Linked DNA regions of Callithrix jacchus. The protein of the gene in region 6 purifies or fractionates together with the protein of the main gene of each other region. This does not show direct contact. Links are inferred from orthologs where the notes say so. Each region holds a gene or a part of one and is shown on either strand. Other genes may lie near its edges.

What was found.
Region 1: the proteins of CLSPN (region 6) and CDC45 purify together in Homo sapiens (affinity purification with western blotting; 4 studies listed by BioGRID and IntAct, with this or other methods). This does not show direct contact. The link is inferred for Callithrix jacchus from reciprocal best matches to the Homo sapiens genes CLSPN and CDC45.
Region 2: the proteins of CLSPN (region 6) and RAD9A purify together in Homo sapiens (affinity purification with western blotting; 3 studies listed by BioGRID and IntAct, with this or other methods). This does not show direct contact. The link is inferred for Callithrix jacchus from reciprocal best matches to the Homo sapiens genes CLSPN and RAD9A.
Region 3: the proteins of CLSPN (region 6) and ATR purify together in Homo sapiens (affinity purification with western blotting; 3 studies listed by BioGRID). This does not show direct contact. The link is inferred for Callithrix jacchus from reciprocal best matches to the Homo sapiens genes CLSPN and ATR.
Region 4: the proteins of CLSPN (region 6) and TIMELESS purify together in Homo sapiens (affinity purification with western blotting; 4 studies listed by BioGRID). This does not show direct contact. The link is inferred for Callithrix jacchus from reciprocal best matches to the Homo sapiens genes CLSPN and TIMELESS.
Region 5: the proteins of CLSPN (region 6) and PLK1 purify together in Homo sapiens (affinity purification with western blotting; 3 studies listed by BioGRID, with this or other methods). This does not show direct contact. The link is inferred for Callithrix jacchus from reciprocal best matches to the Homo sapiens genes CLSPN and PLK1.

The regions. Positions count from the first base shown.
Region 1 is NC_133502.1:211,188,444-211,191,943, forward strand, and holds part of CDC45 (cell division control protein 45 homolog), read left to right. Parts: intron 1-1,494; coding exon 1,495-1,543; intron 1,544-2,871; coding exon 2,872-2,933; intron 2,934-3,500. UniProt on the Homo sapiens protein: Required for initiation of chromosomal DNA replication. Core component of CDC45-MCM-GINS (CMG) helicase, the molecular machine that unwinds template DNA during replication, and around which the replisome is built.
Region 2 is NC_133511.1:124,400,623-124,404,706, forward strand, and holds the start of RAD9A (cell cycle checkpoint control protein RAD9A), read left to right. Parts: upstream 1-1,284; 5' UTR 1,285-1,652; intron 1,653-4,053; 5' UTR 4,054-4,084. UniProt on the Homo sapiens protein: Component of the 9-1-1 cell-cycle checkpoint response complex that plays a major role in DNA repair. The 9-1-1 complex is recruited to DNA lesion upon damage by the RAD17-replication factor C (RFC) clamp loader complex.
Region 3 is NC_133518.1:42,028,992-42,032,970, reverse strand, and holds the start of ATR (serine/threonine-protein kinase ATR), read right to left. Parts: upstream 2,801-3,979; 5' UTR 2,719-2,800; coding exon 2,660-2,718; intron 1-2,659. UniProt on the Homo sapiens protein: Serine/threonine protein kinase which activates checkpoint signaling upon genotoxic stresses such as ionizing radiation (IR), ultraviolet light (UV), or DNA replication stalling, thereby acting as a DNA damage sensor.
Region 4 is NC_133510.1:63,246,508-63,250,615, forward strand, and holds the end of TIMELESS (protein timeless homolog), read left to right. Parts: intron 1-15; coding exon 16-84; intron 85-208; coding exon 209-327; intron 328-2,359; coding exon 2,360-2,585; intron 2,586-2,710; coding exon 2,711-2,815; intron 2,816-2,938; coding exon 2,939-3,009; 3' UTR 3,010-3,608; downstream 3,609-4,108. UniProt on the Homo sapiens protein: Plays an important role in the control of DNA replication, maintenance of replication fork stability, maintenance of genome stability throughout normal DNA replication, DNA repair and in the regulation of the circadian clock.
Region 5 is NC_133513.1:24,285,675-24,289,790, forward strand, and holds the start of PLK1 (serine/threonine-protein kinase PLK1), read left to right. Parts: upstream 1-1,316; 5' UTR 1,317-1,370; coding exon 1,371-1,763; intron 1,764-2,496; coding exon 2,497-2,665; intron 2,666-3,403; coding exon 3,404-3,548; intron 3,549-4,116. UniProt on the Homo sapiens protein: Serine/threonine-protein kinase that performs several important functions throughout M phase of the cell cycle, including the regulation of centrosome maturation and spindle assembly, the removal of cohesins from chromosome arms, the inactivation of anaphase-promoting complex/cyclosome (APC/C) inhibitors, and the regulation of mitotic exit and cytokinesis.
Region 6 is NC_133508.1:72,333,674-72,337,173, reverse strand, and holds part of CLSPN (claspin), read left to right. Parts: intron 1-13; coding exon 14-205; intron 206-1,432; exon of another isoform or gene 1,433-2,165; coding exon 2,166-2,389; exon of another isoform or gene 2,390-3,500.

The DNA.
Region 1 (3,500 bases), on a different chromosome or scaffold from region 6:
AAAGACCTAGAAATAGAAATTCCATTTGACCCAGCAATCCCATTACTGGGTATATGTCCAAAGGACTATAAATTGTTCTACTATAAGGACACATGCACACGAATGTTCATTGCAGCACTGTTTACAATAGCAAAGACCTGGAACCAACCCAAATGCCCATTGATGATAGACTGGACTGGGAAAATGTGGCACATATACACCACGGAATATTATGCAGCAGTCAAAAACGATGAGTTCGTGTCCTTTTTAGGGACATGGATGAATCAGGAGAACATCATTCTCAGCAAACTGACACAAGAACAGAAAATGAAATACTGCATATTCTCACTCATAGGTGGGTGATGAACAATGAGAACACATGGACACAGGGAGGGGAGCACTACACACTGCGGTCTATTGCGGGGAATAGGGGAGGGACAGCGCGGAGGGGAACTGGGGAGGGATAGCATAGGGAGAAATGCCAGATGTGGGTGAAGGGGAGGAAGACAGCAAATCACACTGCCATGTGTGTACCTATGCAACTATCTTGTACCCCAAAACCTAAAATGCAATAAAGAAAAAAAAAAACAAAAAAGGATAGTATAAAACCATTTCAGTAAGTATAAGGAAAGAAAAGTGAAAATAATCCATAATCATACTGCCTAATTCAAAGAGATTCTGGGTTTGGATTTCTATTCCTGGGTTATACATACTTGTGCATGTTTTACATGATATACATCTGATTTGCCATCTTTCTGCTTAATATAACCATTTAAAATAGTTCTGAATAGGCTTTCTAAAGAGCATAATACTTAACTGGCAGTTTCCCTTCTTTTCGAAATGTAGGTCACTTCCAGTATTTTGCCATGATAAATAAGGCTTCAGTGAATTACTTTGTACACACAGCAAGTTTTGTCTTGCTTTTTCCTTTTAATTGTGATTATGGGACAATTTCTCTGAAATGGAATTCTGGGGCTATACCACTTTACATCATACATTGCCACTGGCAGTTTGTGTTAATTTCCCAAGGTTATAGTTATACATTCCACTAAAGAGGCAATACTTGGCCAGGTGTGGTGAATCATGCCTATAATCCCAGTACTTTGGGAAGCTAAGGTGGGAGGATTGCTTGAGCCCAGGAGTTTGAGATCAACCTGGATGACACAGTGAGGCTTTGTCTCTCTAAAAAAAGTTCTTTTTAATTAGCTGGGTGTGGTGGCACATACTATAACCCTGTCTACTTACCAGGCTGAGGTAGAAGGATCACTTGAGACCAGGATGTCAAGGCTACAGTGAGCTGTGATCATACCACTGCACTTCAGCCTGGGAGACAGAGCAGGAACCTGTTCCCTCACCAAAAAAAGAGAAGAGAAGTCAATATATGAAAACAAATAGTACCATGATTTACTTTGCATTTCATTGCATTGAATGCTGTCGGGTTTAGCATTTTCCCAAAACATTTGGCTTCCTCCACTGCTACTTCCTGATGAAGACCTGAATTTTATGTCATTACAGAAGAGACATCCTCTTTGACTACGAGCAGTATGAATATCATGGGACGTCGGTAAGTACAAATAGGTGGAACTGACCGTAAAGTTCTGACTCCAGGGGTCAGTGTCCTCAAATGTGAGGAAGAAACATGGATTTCAGAGCTACAAAAGCCTGGTTTGAATCTGAGCTCCATGGCTTCCCACTCTGTGACCTTAAACCTCTGTCTTATTAAGATGGTCATTTGCACCCAATAGGTGATCAAAGAAGAGCAGCTTTTATTTTGTTCATCATCAAGAATACAGAATGAGTTTGTACTAATCTCTGTGCAAGAAGATAAAGCGCTACAGACTTATATGGCACATCAGTGTGTCTTTTACAAAACAGAATTTAGGTAGAAAACCTGTGCTGATAGTGTTAAGTAGAGCTCGGGGCCTTAAGGAGCCCTAGACAATAAGTTTTAATAAAATATCCTGTATTTAGTCTTAGAATTTAATACTGGGACCTTGAACTCTTAAGCACTGTTTTTCCAGTGTCGCTTTTATTGTCAAGGTTCCATTGTCCTTTGAAGGATCATCCTTTTGCTCTCTCTGCTCAGTCCTTGCAAATGGAAAATTCTAAGCAGTTGGTGGGGGGGCCGTTGATGCTCGCTTAGGGAAGATATCTCCCTAATTATAAAAAAGAGAGAGAAGATATCTCCCTCCTGATATATGGGGCCAGTTCCCTTGGAAATTCTCTCCCTGGAGGAAGCCCAGCATCCTATAGCAAAGGGGATTTTAGGGTCTTCTGGTCAGACACCAGTCTTCCTTGAGGTCTCTAACCAAATCCAGACCCTCTGTTTAGGGGAGTTCTCCGATGTGGGCAGCCCTGGTGGAAAGACCCTCCTCACAGGAGGTCCTGAGGCCTCTCCCTCTTTAATATTCAAGTAATTGGACCCAGGCCCTCCCTGCCTCACCTGGCATTCCTGGGAATGCATTTGAGGACGCCAGCCAGGCAGGGCAGGAGGAGTGTGCAGATGCAGAACCAGGCAGGTGATGGTGTCTCCTGACCTCTGGGATTCAGCACCTGCCTTGGGCATCACTGAGGACCCCAGGGAGATGCAAAGAGGCCCCAGCCAGTGCTGCACATCTGGGCTGCCCCCACGAGGTGAATTCTTCCCTTGCTGTAGGATAAAGTATACAGACAGTAATTTTAGCTAGCAAAGAAGTTACTGTCACTTCTCTCAGTTTAGCGTGTACTCATCCCACATGTCGGGCTGGAATCCACCCACATGCCCTGGCTGAGCAGATCCTCCATCGGCAGGCATTTGATCAGGGCCTTGCAGGCTCAGGTCCAGCTGGCTGCATGGCCTAACCCCAACATGTGCCCCTTCCGTGAATCTTAGACTTCTCTGCTTCCTTACAGTCAGCCATGGTGATGTTTGAGCTGGCATGGATGCTGTCCAAGGACCTGAATGACATGCTGTGGTACGTAGCCCCTGTAGCAGCTGTGTGGGAGTATTACCTTGGTCAGTGCCACACAAGCAGCTCTGTCCTCTCACGGGGAGAGCAATTCCCTCGTCCCCACCAGGAGTGTCAGACACAGCCCCTTTTTTGGGAATGTGTGTGACCCTGGTCTTCTTCCTATGAAGCTCTGGGAGCTTCACATAACAGGGGAAGGAAGTGTAGGAAGAGGATACAGCTTCAGCCTCCCCACCTCTACTGGTCAGCCTGTGCTCAGTAAATTCAGGTGACAGAAGAGTGTGAGGTTTGAAGGAGGCAGCCCTTGCAGTGGCTCACATCCTAATCCTACATCCATAATCCCAGTACTTTGGGAGGCCAAGGCAGGAGGATCACTTGAGCTCAGGAGTTTGAGATTAGTCGGGGCAATGTAATGAAACCCTATCTCTTTAAAAAAAAAAAAAAAATTGGCTGGTCACAGTGGCTCATGCCTGTTATCCCAACACTTTGGGAGGCCGAGGCATGTGGATCACTTGACGTCAGGAATTTGAGACCAGCCTAGTCAACATGGTAAAACCCTGTCTCTACTAAAAA
Region 2 (4,084 bases), on a different chromosome or scaffold from region 6:
TGTAATCCCAGCTATTTGAGAAGCTGAGGCAAGAGAATTGCTTGAACCGGGGAGGCGGAGGTTGCAAGATGGAGATGGCACCACTGCATTCCAGCCTTGGTGACAGAGGGTGACTCTGTCTCAAAACAAAACAAAACAAAACAAAAACCCTCTGTGTACACAAAGCTCATAGAAATTGCTAAAGGGTCAAAAAAATAACAAAGAAACATATAAAACGAAAAGTAAACTGACTCCTACTCTGTCTTCCAGTCCTTCATGTCTACTCAGGCAATGACTGCAGCTGCCTTCGAGGCCCTCCAGGTATCCCATGCTTACGTAATCAAATATATTGTTATGTGTATTTTTATTTTTATTTTTGAGACCCAGTCTTTCTCTGTAGCCTAGGCTGGAGTGCAATCTTGGCTCACTGCAACCTCTGCCTTCGGGGTTTAAGCGATTCTCCTGCCTCAGCCTCCTGAGTAGCTGGGATTATAGGTGCCCACCACCGCACCTTGCTCTATTTTTAGTAGAGAAGGGGTTTCATCATGTTGGACAGGCTGGTCTCGAACTCCTGACCTTAGGTGATCCACCCGCCTCGGCCTCCCAAAGTGCAGGGACTACAAGCGTGAGCCACTGCGCCCGGCCAGATCCTAGGTTTCTAGATTGTCATTGTTTGAGCCTAACTCGAGAGTGGGGAAGGTGGCTCCCGGGCAGTCAACTGAATGCACAGTTCCGCCCAAGGAAGGCCCTGGGTCCGGAAGTGCTCGGAGCTCGCGAGTGCGAGGGTCCGGATGGCTGCTGCTCCCGGAGCCCGCTTTCAATTCCCACTGGGCACAGGAGCCCCTCAGCAGCGCGAGGGGTCGCCCAGCCCGGACCCGGAACACTTGCTGCACGACCGTGGCGCGCGTCCCTCTGGAACCAGCTCCCACAGTCCGAGCGTCCTCCCTCTTCTGCGTCCGGCTCTGCCCAGGCTGGGGCGGGGCCTCAGAAGCGGCCGCCTTCGCGCTAGCCAGCACAGTCCCTCGTCATGCCAACTTTTCAAACGGCAAAATCAACCGCGCTGAAGAGACTGTGCCTCCGTCTCCTCACTGCGTATCTCAGTTGCCTCAGAGAAACTATCTTTCAGACCTTCGCGGTCTCTCCCGCGCCCGCAGCGCCCGGGAGCTGGGGACCGGGACTTACCCACATCGACTGCGACGTTTGGGCGCCACCTTGCGTCCGTTCCGTTAGCCTCCATGGACAACCCGGAAACCACATTTCCCAGCGTGCCTAGCGCCTCTGAGCAGGCGCAAAGAGTGTCCCCTCGTTGCCATGGGAACCTCGCCCCTACTTAGAGTCCCGACCGCTTGACTCCACGAAGCGCGAACGTGTTGTTTCTTCTTGAGGTGCGCTGGGGCTGGGACCCGGTTTGCAGAAGGTCCGGGGGGCGGGGGGCGGCGCAGGGGACTTGAGGAGAGGAGACCAAGCCGGCCTTGCCTCCGAGACCAGCGCTTCCCAATTCTCGGCGGCGTCCCGGCGTCCACACGCTGCTGAGGCCTCGGCGTTCTCAGGAGAGGGACTGGCGAGGCGACCCGGGTCCGCGAGGCCGGGGTCCGGTTGTGGCCCGCGGAGCCCCGCTCGCCTGCACCAGCGTCTGGTCACTTCGAGCCGAGGGCCCTGAGCGTGGCGGACAGGTACTCCCGGGCGCTGGCAGCCCGCGGGGAGGGTTCGCGCCGCAGGTGAACGCGGAGGTAGAATCGGGCAGGGCAGTGAGTGCGCCCGAGGCTGGATCTGGCTCAGCCGCTGGTGGATTCGGAGCCCGGGAGGCCCCCAGGCGCTGTGGGCTTCAGCTCCCCGGCTCTGTAAAATGGGGCTTGGACTAGAATTCTAGTGCCCGTTGCGATTCCGTTGCAGAGCAGGCCCAGGCTCTGTGCGACCTACCAGTTCCTTCCTCTGTAGAATAAGGGGTCTGAAACAGAAGCCTCTTCTGAGGGTGCAGTATGTCACACACTACTGGCCTCATTGCTCCATGTTGCACCCCAAGTGCAAGAAGAAAGAAGAGTCCTGAGATGATCTGAGCAAGACTCTCAGCTTGGGATCTAGAGTCAGAGAAACTTGGGTTTCTGACTTTGGACAAAGTTAGCCTCAGCCTCTTCATCTGCAAGACTGGGGATAATGGTAACACCGCCTCGGATTTTTGTGGATTAAATGAGATGATGCATGTAAGGTGTTTTTGTTTTGTTTGTTTTGTTTTTGAGACGGAATCTTCCTCTGTCGCCCAGGCTGGAGTACAGTACAATGGCGCGATCTCGGCTCACCGCAACCTGTGCCTCCAAGGTTCAAGCGAGTTTCCTGCCCTAGCATTCCGAGTAGCTGAGACTACAGGCCTGCGCCACCACGCCCGGCTAATTTTTTGTATTTTTAGTAGAGATGGGGTTTCACCGTGTTAGCCAGGATGGTCTCAATCTTCCTGATCTTGGCCTCCCAAAGTGCTGGGATTACAGGCGTGAGCCACCTAGCCCAGCCCTACCAGCTCCCCCGCGACCCCCCCGCCCTCTCAGACATTGTTTTGCTCTTGTTCCCAGGCTGGAGTGCAGTGGCACGATCTCAGCTCACTGCAACCTCTGCCTCCCAGGTTCAAGCGATTCTCCTGCCTCAGCCTCCTGAGTAGCTGGGATAACAGGCATGCACCCCCATGTCCAATTAATTTTGAATTCTTAGTAGAGATGGGGCTTTTCCATGTTGGTCATACTGGTCTCTAACTCCTGACCTCAGGTGATCTGCCCGTCTTGGCCTCCCAAAGTGCTGGGATTACAGGCTTGAGCCTGGCCACATGTAAGTTTTTAGTCCAGGGACTGCATAGAGGGAGTGCTATCCCATGTCCTAGCTCTCATTTTTGATAATTTTTACAACAGTCCCTAGCCACTGTAAGACCTTTTCTTAATATTTGAAGTCATTTTATTTCTGGGCAAATCCATTTTCCTAGGCAGGACAGTTTTTTTGTTTTCTTGTTTTGAGACAGGGTCTCTGTGGTCCAGGCTGGAGTGCAGTGGCATGATCTCTGCCCACTGCAACCTCCTCTGCCTCCTGGGTTTAAGCGGTTATTATGCCTCAGCCTCCTGAGTAGACAGGACTACAGGCATGTGCCATCACGCCCGGTGAATTTTTGTATTTTTTGGTAGAGATGAGCGTTCACCATTTTGGCCAGACTGGTCTTGAACTCCTGGCCTCAAGAGATCTGTCCGCCTCAGCCTCCCAAAGTGCTGGGATTACAAGCATGAGCCACCTTGCCCAGCCTGAAGTTATTTTATTAGACATACATGCTGTCTCAGAGCCATTCTTCTAGGGGAAGAAGGCGAATGGGCAGATCATTATGGGGCAAGGGCCATATTGTTGGCATCTTTAGTATAGTACCAGCTAATTGAGAGCCAAGGGAACAAGGTGCATAAATGGATAGGGGGTTTGTGAGCCTCTTTCCCTGGAGCTAAGGTGAAGAACCATGAGGGAAAGAAACTGCAGCACAGGATCATGTAGCAGTCCTCAGGACCAGTGATGGCAGTGATGGGTAGTCCCTTGACTCCTGTGTTCATTCTTGGCTTTTTTTCTTCTATGGCTCACTCCTTCCTAGGGAGGTTTCTCTCCCATCTGTGACCTAACTGGGAATGGGAAACTCTGTCCACCATGCCAACAGATTGCCAAGGCCTGCAGCTGCTGCACAAGAAGGAAGCTGGCTTCAGTAGCACCATCTTCAGGCTGACTTCCAGGGCCCTGCCCTTCTCCAGTTCTGTCCAGGGCTGAACCTGCACTAGGAGGTAGCCTTGAAGGACGCCCCTTAGAGATGGGTGTCTAATGGCCTGGAGAGGGGAGAACTACCTCAGGACCTGGGACGGCAAAAGTGGAAAAGGTTGAAAGGAGAAAGGCCTGAGGACAAGTCCTGTTTCATTCATCAAAGGTCTTAAGGTCTTAATTTCCTGCTGGAATCTTCTGTTGCTCAGAAGGTGCAGTCGTCCTCAGAACAAGGAAGCTGGGGAGAAATTAAGCAGGTGCAACCAGAGAGGAGATAGAGCACAACTGACTGTCTTTTTTTGTCCCTAGATTTGGGAGGCTGGAGGACATCTGGGGGCCA
Region 3 (3,979 bases), on a different chromosome or scaffold from region 6:
TTAAGGGATAAGGGAGAAAAACCTAGGATGACTCCTAGGCTTTTGGTTGGTATGTTCAAAATAACATGGGAGAAGGAACAAATTCAAGGGCAGTAAATCAGGAGTTCTGCTTTGGATATGTTAATTTTCACTTCCCAGTATAGATGTTGAGTAAGCAACCTAATATAATCTGATCAGAAATATAAATTTGGGAGTTATCAGCATATGGATGACATTTAAAGCCATGAAATTAGGTAAGATTACTTGGGAAGAGAGCATAAATCAAAAGAGGGTTAAGGACATAGTCTGAAAGCACACTGGAGAACAGTCAAGAATGACTTCTAGATTTCTGGTTTGGAGAAATGAGTGAATATGGTGCCATTTACTGAGATATCTCTACTTCAGTGAATAAGAGAAAAATAATTTTTTGTTGTTGTTGTTAATGAATGAGAGCTTCTTACGTTGCTCAGGTTAGCCTTGAACTCATAGCCTTGCCTCCTCAAGAGCCAGGACAACTGGCGGGAGCCACCCCACGGCTCCCAATAAATTTTTTTTTTAATTTAAAAAAAGAAGTCTTGTGAAGGTTAAGACGTGAAGAATTTGTATTGGTATTGGATATGCTGAATCTTAATTACACATAGGACACTCAGTGAAACTATCAGTATACAGCAAATATACAGTTCCGTAGGAGGCAGGATTTGGAAAAACATATTTGGAGTCATCAAATAGCAGATGATAGTTGAAGGCAGGAAAGTGGAAAGGTCATTTACCAAGACTACGCAGAGTAGAATCCTAACAGCAAAAAACAATAGGACAAACTTTGTCTGAGAGACTGATGAAGAGCTGCCCATAATTAGAACACTGATCTCATTTTTTTCAATAGTCTAATTGCCGTAGTCATAAGGGAGAACATTTTGGAAGAAAAGGCCTTGATAGCTTGAATCTGAACCCTAGCTCTGATACCTGCTAGCTGTGCCTTTGGTTTTTCAACTTCTGTGACCCTGTTTCTTAAACAGTGATAACTCCTGTTCCATCCTATGTCATGGACATACTATGAAAATGGATGAGCTTGTTTCATTGAAGTAGTTGTAGCGAAAAAGCCATGAAAATTAAAAACTATTAGACAATTTTCTATAGGTCAATTTTTCTATTTCTCTTGGAATGGCTACAAATGGAAGATAACATAAGCTCTACTGATGAAACAGACTATATATAATCCAAGAACCAATTATTTTTATTAACAGGTCTCATGGAGGAAGACAGAAGAGGGAAGAGAAGTATTAATTCTACTTTAAAATGAATTAATTAGTAGAGCTAATTCTACTTTAAAACAAAGTGGGAAAAATATACTGAGCTTCACAGTGAGCCTGAAAGATAAAATCTGTAAAACAACTTCCTAAAATGATCACTTTTCTTCATCTTCTTTTAGAGAGGTATACGTTATTTTATAAACTGTAAACACAAAAGTATACTTGCCACACTAATAAAAAGTGGAAAAAATTCACACAGTCAAAAATAGTGATGCAGTTAGGACAAGAATCGTCCCTTCATTTATCCTCTTATTCATATATTAAGACTAGATTATTTGCATGGCCAACCAGTGGAAATGAACACAACTGCGCTGCAAAAAGAAAGGGAAGCAGCTATCCCATCGGCTTAATGTCAGTTTTGACTGTGTATGGAGAGTTTTCAAACCGTTTAAGAAATTGGGAAGCAGTTATTCCAACTGATCATTCAACTGCGGTAGTAGCACAAGCTCATTTATTTCTTGTTCGCAGTAGTTTAGAATTAAAACAAACAAAACAAAACCAGCCCTACTGAGTCTTTAGGCCTGGTTCAGGAAAGCCTGCCTGAGTGTTACAGGGGTGTGGCAGTCATCAACACCTCTCCCTCCCTCTTTCGGTAAGACACTGGTTTTCATGAGGTTTACAGAAAACAGGCATTTGCAAATGAACTATTAAATTGCCTCCAAATTTTGGCAACAGTCTGTGCACGTTAAGATTTTGTGGACACTGAGGTCTATCTCTCCAATTTCTGACTAAAATAACGTATCGAGGACTGGACGATTAATACGAAGGAGTTCACATCTTCAATATGTACTATGACTTCACTTCAAAGAAAATAACTGCCTTTTCCATCAAGTGATGTCACTTGCAGAAAATGAGAAGCGGTGATTTTTTTCCAAGGGCAGTTTGGGGACAAAATATAAGGCTAAAAACCAATTCCTCCACGAGTGATCACAAAGAACAGAAACTGATGAGTCAAGTCTCTCGTCTAAGGAAAGGGGTTTTCGAGAAGAAAATGAGTGTAGAAAAGTGACCATAAAGTGATCAGCAGGGACTCTTCCCTCGAGCTGCAGGAAGCAAACTCTCGGGTTGGGCGAACTCTCCGGCGCTGCTGAGGTAAACCCGGGCCGGCAGACGCCTCTCTCTCCCCTAGAATCGGCTTCCCGCAGGTTTGTGGCGACGACCCCACGTCCCCACGTCCCCACGTCCCCACGTCCCATCGACGAGCACTCTGAGGGAGAAGCGCCCAAATGAGCCACGGAGCATCTCCACAAGGGCAGCAGCTGGGGCTTCGGGGATCCGAACCACGGCGCGGCAGGAGAGGGGAGAGCACGTGAAACCCCAGCCGGGATCGTCAGAGGAGGATGCAGGACCCAGGATGGGCCTAGCCCTACCTGCCCAGCTCCCGCAGAGCCGGGATCATGGACGCCAGCTCCAGGCCAGGTTCCCCCATGCTGAGGCTGCCTGACACTCGTCAAACACGCCGACGCGGGTTCCTGGCGTCTCCAAAGCTACCCCGGCCGGAAGAGAACGGCGCCCGACGGAGCCTCGTGGGGGCCAAAACTCTTCCCGGAAGCCGCTATTGGCCCCGCTTGCCGGGCCCTGCGTCTGTTTTGTAGAGGACCCGGGGGAAGCCGGGAAGCAGTTAGGGGGCGGGGCAAGCGGGCGAGCGCGCGCCGGTCGAACTTCCCTGGTTGGGTTCAGGACTTAGTTCTCAGCACTAAGCGAGCAACGTTTGTGAAGTTTTCGTCTTGAGCGGCCAGACTGCTGTTCTGAAGCCTGGGAGGCACAGCGAAGCCAGACCCCCGAATCGGGAGAGGCTAGGGGCTTGAGGGCTGCCAACCCAGAATCTCGCTTCACAAATGTGAGAACTAGGACAGTTCAGCGAGTAAAGGCCAAAAGTAGACTCCGTTTCCCCAGAGTAACGCTGTCACATTTTAAAAGTTTCTCACTTCGCCACTACTCTTGTCACGCTGTTGAGAGAGAAAGGGCAAAAGGTGGGCTCTCCCTGTTTGTTTTTCTTTTTAAGCATTTTTTTTCGACTTGAAGTCGCTCTTAGGTTTCCGTGAGGACCCTGCCAACATATAATATTTAAAAATGGGGTTGGATTATATTTGTGTCTCATCAGAGCAGCAGTACTGTGGAAATGCCACCATTACAGGCATCCACAACCTGTGATTTATTTTTTATTTACTTATATTTTTTGAGACGGAGCCTTGCTCTGTCACCAGGCTGGAGTGCAGTGGCGCAATCACGGCTCGCTGCAACCTCCACCTCCTGGGTTCAAACGATTCTTCTGCCTCAGCCTCCCGAGTAGCTGGGACCACAGGCGCGTGCCCCCACGCCCGGCTAATTTTTTTTGTATTTGTAGTAGAGACGGGGTTTCAGCATGTTGGCCAGGATAGTCTCGATCTCTTGACCTCGTAATCCGCTCACCTCAGCCTCCCAAAGTGCTGGGATTACAGGCGTGAGCCACCATGCCCGGCCCTGTGATTTAATTTTTAAAGTAAATCAATGGATTTGGGGAATATACATTTTCTCGAGAATACAGACCAGCATTCCCTAACCTTTTTGGCATCAGGGACCAGTTTTGTGGAAGACAATTTTTCCATGGACAGGGAGGTGAAGGGAGGTTTTCGGGATGATTCAAGCACATTACATTTATTGTGCACTTTCTACTATTGCATTGTAATATGTAATAAGTCATTATACAA
Region 4 (4,108 bases), on a different chromosome or scaffold from region 6:
CCCTCATTTCCTTAGGCTTTTCTACCCCGCTTCTGTGGCTCCAGAACTGCCTGATCCGAGCAGCTGATGATCGGGAAGAGGATGGTGAGTGGACAGATGATGATTTTAGGAGGACTAGAGCCCTGGGTGCTATTGGAGACCTGGTCATGGGACGGAGGACCAGTTCTTCCCTCATGTCTTCACCATGTGACTGTTGACCCTGTCTTAGGCTGCTCCCAGGCAGTTCCGTTGGTGCCACTCACAGAGGAAAATGAGGAAGCCATGGAAAATGAACAGTTTCAGCAGCTGTTGCGCAAGCTAGGGGTTCAGCCCCCCGCCTCTGGGCAGGTACATTTGCCAGTTACAGTGTCAGCCAAGGCTTGTTCGTCCTATTTCCAAATACATCTCCTCTTCCTCACTGTAGATGCCACCATGGTCCTCCCCACTGTCATGGTGGTCCTCCTCATTGCCTTGTCATCTCTGACCAAGATTCCTGCAGCAGCCATTCTGTTAGTCTTCTTTTCCTCTCTCTAATCTCCTCTTCCCCTAAATCCATCTTCCATACTGACCCAGATTTAGCTTTCTAAAATATGTTTTGATTATAGTTGTCCCTTGGTATCTGAGGGGGGATGGGTTCCATGACCCCCCAACAGATACTAAAATCTACAGATGCTCAAGTCCCTTTTTGTAGTATTTGTGAATAACCTATGTCCATGCTCTTGTATACTTTAAGTCATGTCTAGATTACATATAATACCTATACAATGTTAAGCAAATAATTGTTATACTGTAAATGTTAGGTAAACAATTGTTATACTGTATTGTATATGTGTGTGTGTGTGTGTGTGTGTGGCAGTCTCACTCCATTGCCCAGGCTGGAGTACAGTGGCTCGATCTCAGCTCACTGTCGCTTCACACTCCCAGCTAATTTTTTGTAGAGATGAGGTTTTGCCATGTTGCCCAGGCTGTATATTATTATTTAATGTTGTATTGTTGTTTTTTCAGAATATTGTCAATCCACAGTATTTTGAATCCAAAGATCCAGAACCTGTGGATATGAAGGGTCAACTCCCATGTCCAGAGCCCTTGATAGTTCCTTACTGCTTGCAGGACAGAATCCACAAACTCCAAATGGCATGCCCATCCTTGGCAAACCTTTGCAGCCTCACTGCCATGCCACTCACACACCTACTTTACATCATAGTCACCGTGGTAGGATTCTTCCTGCCTCCAAATGGTTAATCAGGCCAGTCCCTCTATTGGAAGGCCGGCTGCAACCATGCACACAAGTTGACATACATACTCCATCTGTCTTACCGATGGACCTCTACCCAGTCTTCGAGAGTCTGCTCAACTGTCACCTTGTCAGAGAAGCAGTCTCTGTTACTCTTTCAATGTATGAAGTAAAGAGTCACTTTTGCAGCTGCAGTTTGTTCATTCCCGTGATACAGCCTCAATCCTGTGGTATCAGCTGGGTGCGGTGGCTCATGCCTGTAACCCCAGCACTTTGGGAGGCCGAGGCAGGCAGATCACCTGAGGTCATGAGACCAGTCTGGCCAACATGGCAAAAACCCTGTCTCTACTAAAAATACAAAAATTAGCCTGGTGTGGTGGCAGGCGCCTAGAGTCCCAGCTACCTGGGAGGCTGAGGCAGGAGAATTGCTTGAACCTGGGAGGCTGAGGTTGCAGTGAGTTGAGATCGCTTTGCCGCGGCACTGTAGCCTGAGCAACAGTTCAAGACTCTGCCTCAAAAAAAAAAAATCCTGTAATATTATGGCACATTTGTTCTTTTTCCCGTTGGATTGTGAGTTATTTGAAGGCAAGGATCATACCTGATTCACCTTTATATCCCCAGGATTTATATATTTATTTATTCAATTAACAGCTATAGCCAGGCACAGTGGCTTTTGGAAACAGGTGGGAGGATCGTTTGAGACTGGCCTGGGAAACATAGCAAGACCCTGTCTCTACAAAAAATTATGAAATAGTTACGCTTAGTGGTGTGTACCCTTGTGGTCCTAGCTACTCGAGAGGCTGAGGCAGGAGGATAGCTTGAGCCCAGGAGATGGAGACTACATTGGACCATGATTGTGCCACTGCACCTCAGCCTGAGTGACAGAGGCAGACCCCTTCTTATTAAAAAAAAAAAAAAAAAAAAAAAACCAACCACCAAAAAAACCTATAGTTACTGGAAACCTACTAATGTAGCAGGCACTATACTAGGCATTGGGAATATATTGGATAAGTAAGTATTATAACAAGTAGAGTTTACAGCCCTTGTGGATCTTCACCAATGTTGGGTCATATTTACTGAATGAATATCAAACTCTGGGGAACAAGAGGCTGGTCCTTTCCCTTTTCAACTTCTTGGGCCCTGTAGGAAACCTTCTGGCGAATTCCAGCCAAGCTGAGTCCCACCCAGCTCCGGAGGGTAGCAGCTTCTTTGAGTCAACCAGAGGAGGAACAGAAGCTGCAGCCAGAGCTACAGCCTGAAGTCCCTGGAGAGCAAGACTCTGATGAGGAGCACCATAAAGAGCATCGAGCTCAAGCCCTAAGAGCTCTCTTGCTAGCCCGCAAGAAGAAAGCAGGCCTGGCGTCCCCAGAGGGTAATAGTGCAACAGCCATCCTCTGAGTATTAACTTGTCAGCATGCTGGTCTAGAGGGCTGGCAGGGTATTTTGAGAATAAGAGGATTGAGTTCCTGTTTTTTGTGTCATTTACGGTCATTGCAGAGGAAGACACTGTTGTTGGTAAAGAGCCGCTGAAGGCAGCACCCAAGAAGCGACAACTGCTGGACAGTGATGAGGAACAGGAAGAAGATGAGGGCAGTAACAGAGGTAGGGAATCTGATGGGACCTTCTTTTTCTTCTCTAATCCTGAAGACAAACTCTACCAACCTCCTTACCCCTTAGCATATTTAGATATTCTCTCTCTGTCTCTCGCCCCTGTTGTTCCCACAGTGCCAGAATTGGGAGCTCCAGGTATCCAGAAGAAGAAACGATTTCAGATTGAGGATGATGAGGATGACTGAAGAGCTAAGAAGCCTAGGGGTAGAGATAGACAGATTTTTAGATGGTGCATTTAAGTCAGAGTTGGAAGGATCATACAAGACCCAGAAACTCCTCTTACTTGACAGAGCAGTAAAATCCTGGGCTCTTCCATGGATTTAGGCTGAGAAACTTCAGCAGCAGTATTGGACTTCTCTACTATCAGTCTTTGTTTCTCCCCGTTTTTATCAGTATGTCCTAGCAGCTCTCTGGAGATTTATTCCTCCTCTTCTAAGAACCATTTCTTTTGGTTATTAGAGCTCCTTAGCAAATAAGAGTGAGTGAGTGAAATACAGAAAGCACCCTGGACCCCTCTTATTGGTCTGTTCCTTGTGGCTTTCTCTTGGAGGTGGGTCATAGCACCAGGAGGGGAGCTTTATGACATGACAGGTGGGGGGTTTTAGAAACCACTTTTAGAAGATACCGATGCCTCTGTCCTCATTTTCATTCCTGTGATCATCCTCTAGATACCAGATAGAGACCCATTCCTGCATTTGAGGTAGGGTTGGAATATGGTACTCTAGATGATGAACGTGTTTGCTTTGTGTTTGGTATTAAATTAAACATGTAAGATTAAAGTTGATCTCAGTCTGACTTGTAAATCTGTTTGCCAGCCCTTCCCCTGCTGTGCTCTTGAAAGCAGAACTTAAAAATTTTAGGGTTAAAAGAGACCAACAGACCAGCACGGTGGCTCAAGCCTGTAATCCCAGCACTTTGGGAGGCTGAAGCAGGCAGATCACTTAAGGTCAGGAGTTTGAGACCAACCTGGACCATGTGGCAAAACCTCGTCTCCACTAAAAATACAAAAATTAGCCAGCCATGATGGCACACACCTGTAATCCCAGCTACTCGGGAGGCTGAGGCAGGAGAATCACTTGAACCCAGGAGGCAGTTTGCAGTGAGCTGAGCACGCCAGTGCATATGCCATGGGATGACAGAGTGAGACTCTTGTCTCAAAAAAAAAGAGACCAACAACCACCTTCCCTTTTCTTCTGCTTTCCTCCTTTCCCTACAGAAGACACACAAAAACATTTTCACCTCTAGATCCTTTTTCTTGGGTAAATTCTTAGGATGACTAGAGTA
Region 5 (4,116 bases), on a different chromosome or scaffold from region 6:
CAAACTGAAAGCACGTAGGCACAGAGTAGCTAGCACTTGTAATTTTTTCAGGAAAAGCCACATATCCTAATTTTTATGAGCTCTTCTTTTAAATGCTGTAAATGTTTTAGAAGGGCTGGGTGCGGTGGCTCACACCTGTAATCCCAGCACTTTGGGAGGCCGAGGAGGGCAGGTCACTTGAAGTCAGCAGTTTGAAACCAGCCTGGCCAACATGGTGAAACTGTCACTACTAAAAAAAAAAAATGAGCCGGGCCTGGTGGTGGGCTCCTGCAATCACAGCTACTTGGGAGGCTGAGGTGGGAGGATTGCTTTCAGCAAGCCAAGGTTACAGTGAGCCGATCGGGCCACTGAACTCCATCCAGCCTGGGCGACAGAGGGAGACTCCATCTCCAAAAAAAAAAAAAAAAAAAAAAGGAGGCCTAACAAAACCCCGCAAGACACATTGGCTATGACCTACGAGTTTGTTAGGCATTTTTCCAACCTTACCTCCCTTTGACCAAGAAACAGTGTCCTCCATTTTAGGCCCTGGGAAATTCAGCAGCGAGCAGGCCAGACAGCTTCGTTGCATCATGGGGGGCTCTGGTACTGTGCTTCTCCAACTTCAGGATGTGTAGGAATCACCTGAGCAGTCTTGTTGAGAGGCGGACTCTGACTCGGGAGATCTAGGGTAGGGCCTGAACATTTGCCTTTGTGGTTCTAACAAGCTCTCAGGTGATGGGGATGCTGCTGTTCCCTGGCCCCTCCTTTAAACAGCGCTGCTCCATAATCTTGAGGAGCTCAAAAGCAGCAGTTATTTGAAGGAGCAGGACTACAGTACTGGCCATGAAGGTATGTTTGGCAAGCACACTTTTACTTAATTTTAATTCATTTGGGGTGGCTTGGCTGAGAGCTGACAGCATCGGAGGCGAGTGTTAAGGCTCTCCCAAACTACTTTATTGGCGTGCCAGGTCCCTACTCAGCTTACATACTAGGTGGGGTGGAGGTGGAGGAAAGTCTAAGGAAAAGCTTAATGGAGGAGGCGCAAGTGAACTGCAGGAGCTTTCCCGGACGCCCAAGAAAGGGAGAAACCCTAAAGAAATTCCTCCCTTCTCGGGCCGGGTCTCCGTAGCCACGCCGGGTTTGGTTTCCCAGGCTATCCCACGTGTTCGGGTGTCCCTGTCAATCAAGTTTTCCCCGGCTGGGTCGGGGTTTAAAGGCGGCTGCGGGGCAGGGCGCTCCCATGGTTCCGCGCGGCGAGCGGGTTTGGATTTTAAATCCCCGCGACCAATCAGTAGCGCGCAGGCTTTTGTAACGTTCCCAGCGCCGCGTTTGAATTCGGGGAGGAGCGGAGCCTCTGCTCGGATCGAGGTCGGCAGAGCAGCTCCGAGAGCATGAGTGCGGCGGTGACTGCGGGAAAGCTGGCACGAGCACCGGCCGACCCTGGGAAAGCCGGGGTTCCCGGAGCTCCAGCGGCGGCCCCACCAGCGAAAGAGATCCCAGAGATCCTAGTGGACCCACGCAGTCGGCGGCGCTATGTACGGGGCCGCTTTTTGGGCAAGGGCGGCTTTGCCAAGTGCTTCGAGATATCGGACGCGGACACCAAGGAGGTGTTCGCGGGCAAGATTGTGCCTAAGTCTCTGCTGCTCAAGCCGCACCAGAAAGAGAAGATGTCCATGGAAATATCCATTCACCGCAGCTTGGCCCACCAGCACGTCGTAGGATTCCACGGCTTTTTCGAGGACAACGACTTCGTGTTCGTGGTGTTGGAGCTATGCCGCCGGAGGGTGAGTGTCGCTGCTAGGGAACTGGAATTGCCTGCGGGGCAGTTGGAGAGCCTGGACCTGGAGCAGCTGCTGGAAAGAGTGCCCAGGAAGGGAGTGCCTGGGACTTGGAGCTGGTTGAGAAGGGTGCTGGGAGCCTCCCGCTTAGGTATGGAAAGTGTCTTTGGTAAGGGCTTCTTGCCTCTTGGAACTGCTAGAAGAGTGGGTTCCAGTGAAGTGGAGTCTGAGTCAGGTTGCTGACCGGGAAGTCAGCTTCTGGACGCTGGGGGGAGGGGTGCTGGTAATGGACTCTAGGGCCCTAGAGTGCCCAGGGAGGAGTCCCAAGGTTAGTGAAGCCGCGCACTGGGAGCTTCCGGAGTGGGGTCTGGTCAGTAAGGAGGTAGTTGCAATCCAGACTTCGGTCCTTCCCGGGGAAATAAGAATCAGGAAAGGGATCTGCTGCTGGGCACTCGGAGCTTCCGGAATGGGGCTGAGAGAGGACCCCCAAGTAAGAGAGGAAGCTAGGGGAAGGGGTGCAGCGAATGGTTGTGAGTAGTGTTAAAGGAGGGTCCAGATAGCAATTGTCCTGGAGAATGGGGTGGGGGCTTAGGAAAGGAGAGAAACCCACCAAGACGCCACTTTGATCCGCCAGGAGTCTAGGTCCTGTTCTTCCTTTACCTAGTAGTAACCCTCTCCCTTCCCCACCGGCCTCAGCACCACCCTCCCATCCCTCCTGCCCTCTCCTTCCCACCCACAGTCTCTCCTGGAGCTGCACAAGAGGAGGAAAGCCCTGACTGAGCCTGAGGCCAGATACTATCTGCGGCAGATTGTGCTTGGCTGCCAGTACCTGCACCAAAACCGAGTTATTCACCGAGACCTCAAGCTGGGTAACCTTTTCCTGAATGAAGATCTGGAGGTGAAAATAGGTGAGTTGCTGAGCCTGCAGGGTGCTTGACATCCCTACAAGAGGCTGGAATTTGGAGGAGGCTGGGAGAAAGGATAGGAAGGAGACCAGGAGGAAGGAAGAGGATGGATGGTGAGAAGTTTGGGCGTTGATTGCTTCTATAATTCTCTCCTTTGTCCAGAAATTTAAAACAAACGCCCACAAGTCAGTATCTTGCCTGAAGACACATTATAGCCCCAATACAGGACTTTTTTTCAAATAATTTGAGTTTGTTTCTATTTTTTAAAGTGGAAAGCTTGACATAAAAATTTTGATTCAGAGCTCCTTTTAAACAGGTGAAAGCTCCAGTAATACGAGGGCGGCATTTTCTTAGGGCAGCCCATTGCTGGGCTGGAAAGCAGCTGTCCCTTCTGACATGTTTGCCAAGGTCTCTACTCCTCCCTATTCTTCACAGGCTTGCCAAGTCTTGGCGGTTACTTGCTTGATTCTTGAAGGCACTGGAGTTTTGCTGTCCCTGTCAGTTCCCATTTTGAAGCATAGCCCCTTTCTAAGGGGTAGGGTTGTGAAGGGTCACTGGAGGCACCTCCCTGAGGTCAGCATGGCAGGAAGATTTCTGGGCAAGCCTTGCGGCATACAAGGAGCAGAGGCTTGTGGGATCAAATGGCTCTGCTTCTTGATGGTCAAACCTTAACTAGCTTTCTGCATTGACAGATGGCAGAGGCTGGCATTTAAGTACCCATTCTTCCTCCCTCTGTCCCAGGGGATTTTGGACTGGCAACCAAAGTCGAGTATGACGGGGAGAGGAAGAAGACCCTGTGCGGGACTCCTAATTACATAGCTCCCGAGGTGCTGAGCAAGAAAGGGCACAGTTTCGAGGTGGATGTGTGGTCCATTGGGTGTATCATGTAAGTTGGGAGTTGTCTTTGGATCTGCCTGGTCTCAGCAGGGGCAACTTTGGGACATCCTACTTGGCTGACCTTTTCTATGGACCTTTCTGCCTGCTTTACAGAAAGCCTATTCTAGGGGACAAGTGACCCCCAAACGAAGCCTAATTGCTGTATCTTTCCCTGTCACTGGTGTATCCTATCAGATTTCTGCAGCCTAGGCCATGGGTACAGAGGAGGAGGAGGAGGAGGAGGAGGAGGAGGGGGAGGGAGGAGGGAGAGTCTTCACAGCCTTACTTTAGTCCTTTGCTAGAGTGGTCCACAGGGCAGCATCACCATCATCTGGGAACTTGTATGCGGAATCTCAGGGCCCAGACTACTTACTGGATCAGAATCTGGATTTTTAACAAATCCCTTGGTGATTTCCATGCACAATAAGGTCTTAGAAACACTGATGAGCATTAGCATGGTGGGAGAAATTAGGCCAGGAGTTACAGATGGCAGGATGAGGTGCCAGTGGTCCCTCTGGATTGAGACCATCAGCTGCGATTGGTGGCAGGCAGAGGCTTGGGCCTTTTCAGGTATTATC
Region 6 (3,500 bases):
TGTTTGGGTTTAGAACTGGAAGCCTTGAAGCAGCGTTTCTGGAAGCATGCTAATCCAGCAGCCAAACCCAGGGCTGGTCATACAGTGAATGTGAACGTCATAGTGAAAGACGTGGGCACTGATGGAAAGGAAGAGCTAAAAGCAGATGTGGTATCTGTGACTTTGGCACCTAAGAAGCTGGAAGGAGCAAGCCACACAAAACCAGGTATTTGAGCCCACAGGTTTTGTTTTTTGGTTTTTGCTTTGTATTCTAGCATATCTTCATAGCTATTGAAAACCTTATAATGAAAAGTTATAGAATATTTTTCCTTGGAGACTTTGGACAGGAGTATCTCTGCCATGATTCACATGTAGCACACCTAGAGGTGTGGGGTGGACAAGCTGACTTTGTTTTTTCAAATATCATTTGTCTTATAAAAAATAATAAATATTCATTATAGAAAAATATATAGAATAAACAAAAAACTTAATCTATCAGAGACAGGTTCTATAACCATATTGTGTATCCTTTTAAACTCTCTTCTTTGCACATATGTATATGTATTTAAACAAAAACAAACAAAAACAGGGCCGGGTGCAGTGGCTCACACCTGTAATCTTAAAACTTTGGAAGGCCAAAGCAGGAGGATCACTTGAGCTCAGGAGTTCGAGACCAACCTGGGCAACATAGTGAGCCCTCATCTCTACAAAAAAAAAAAATTATCCAGACATGGTGGCATGCACGTGTGGCCCTAGATACTTGGGAGGCTGAGACGGGAGGATAACTTGAGCCAGGAGGTTGAGGTTGCAATGAGTCATGATTGTGGCACTGCACTCCAGCCTAGGCAACAGAGAGAGATCCTGTCTCAAAAAAACCCAAAACAAAACAACCCACCTAATAATGTGATCATAACATGCATTCTGCTTTGTAATATACTTTTTGTTTTAAAAATGTATTAAGGACAGCTCTTGCCCCTACCTTGAAATCATAAGTAATGTATCACATGGAAAACAGTTTTAAACACAGAAAAAAAAGGTATTAAATGAAAAATTAGTCTTCCCAAAGATAACTATTAACAATTTCTTGTGTGTCCTTACGTGTATTTTTTCTTGTGTGTATTTTTATGCATGTACCATTTTTTGTGAATGTGTGTAGCACTGAACATTTACTTCCTGTCAGGCATTGCTCTAGGTGCTTTCTATGTTTTATCTCATTTAATCCTTACAACCCTATGAGGTAAATAACATTAGTATCTTTATTTTGTATATGAAGAAACTGATATGCAGAGCACTTAAGCCATTTGCCCAAGTTTACACAGCTAATAAATGGTAGGACCAGTGGTCTAATCCAGACCACCTAACTCCAGAGCTCAGATCCACCTTATGTTGTTTTTAAGGCTTTTCTTAAATGGCCACATAATATTCCATTGAATGAATACAACACGATTCATTAAAGTTCCAGTTTTTGCTATTGCATACCAGTGTTACATGATAGTACCAGATATATGTTGGTAGTTGCAAAATTCCTTACAGTAGAATTGTTGTGATATATATCACATTCTGATATATGTCATCCAGTTGTGTTTCAGAATGGTTCTACTCTGAATCACAGTGTATGAGTTCCTATTTCCTCTTGTTAATAATTGGTATTATCAAACCTAATTTTTGCCGAACATGTTGAAAATGGTATCTCATTATTTTGATTTGGAGCTCTTTAATTAGCAGTGAGGTTAAGCATTACTTTTAATTTGTTTATCAACAATATATGTTTATTTTTATGTGCACTGCCAGTTCATATCATTTACCCATTTTACGCCTGAGTTGTTTCTCTTTTTCTTTAACACAGGTAAATTTATCAGTGTTTTTCTTCATGGCTTTTGGGCCACAGACTTTTGAAGCTCCACTCCCTAACCCCCTTTTTTCTCTTTTGAAGCTCCACTCCCTAACCCCCTTTTTTCTCTTTTGAACAATGATTTTATAATCCCTGAGTAGTATACTTTCCCAGGGAGCAGAAGTTCTCTTTGATACTTCAATTCATAATCCTCATGTACTCAAATAACAAAAAAGCCCAGAATACTAAGGTCTCAGATTTTCCTTTTGGGATGTGACTAGAATACTTCTGGAGGTACCTAAAATGCATACTTAATTGTATTATGTCTAGAGCATTTCTACATATTTCTGTTCAGGTGAAAAGCTTCAGGTGCTAAAAGCTAAACTGCAAGAGGCAATGAAACTCCGAAGGATTGAGGAACGCCAGAAGCGCCAAGCACTGTTTAAATTAGATAATGAAGATGGGTTTGAGGAAGAAGAGGAAGAAATGACAGATGAGTCTGAGGAAGATGGAGAAGAGGAGGTAGAGAAAGAAGAGGAAGAGGAGGAGAAAGAAGAGGAAGAAGGAGGAAATCAGGAGGTTTCTGGCAATTATTTTGTTTTGTTACTTGGTCATGGCGAATATGAGAGAAAAAGTCAGATTTGAATAAGTATAATAAGCATGTTCAATTGTATAAGAGGTTTTGGGGCATGGCAAGGGCAACTACCTCATATATGCCTAAATCTTAATACATTTAGTTCTGTCACTACCATTGAATATCTTTAGATGTTGAATATGATTATTCATATTCAACCATTGAATTATCAACCATTGAATTGATTATTATATATCAATACAGATATTCAGTGGTACTGACAGAATACCATTGGCTTGGCTTCCACCTGTTTGTTTATATGTTTTAATATAATAATGCTAATATTAAAAATGGCTTTGTATTAGCAGGAAATTTTATCTTTGTTGTTTATTTAGGTTTCTCTATCAGATTAAAAAACAGTCTTAACCTTGGCCAGATTGAGGTCTAGAGTAAATTCTCAAGGAGGCAGAGGTCTTTCTGAGTTATTTTCATTCTTTGTTGAAGAAGGCATTTGTAGAAGAGCCTCTTGCCCTTATTCCATAGTATTGTTTTCTGACTGGGGAAGACAGGTGATGATAACAATTGTTAAGTATTAAAAGCTTTCCTTTTGGGGCCTTGTGCAGTGACTCATGCCTGTAATCCCAGCACTTTGGGAGGCTGAGGTAGGCAGATCATCTGAGGTCAGGAGTTTGAGAATAACCTGGCCAACATGGTGAAACTCCATTTCTACTAAAAATACAAAAATTAACTGGGTGTGGTGACACACCTGTAATCCCAGCTACTCGGGAGACTGAGGCAGGAGAATTGCTTGAACTTGGGCAGTGAAGGTTACAGTGAGCCGAGATTGTGCCACTGCATTCTAGCCTGAGTGACAGAGTGAGACTCATCTCCAAAAAAGGTGGGGGGAAAGCTTTCCTTTTTGTATGCTGGGATCACTTGAGTTAATTTTATTTATTTATTTATTTATTTATTTTTATTTTTTTAGAGAAGAGGGTCTCACTATGTTGACCAGGCTGGTCTTGAACTCCTGGCCTCAAGCGTTCCTTCCATTGTTGTGACCACCCAGAGTGCTGAGCCACCATGCCCAGCAACTTGAATTAATATTTAATTTGGGGT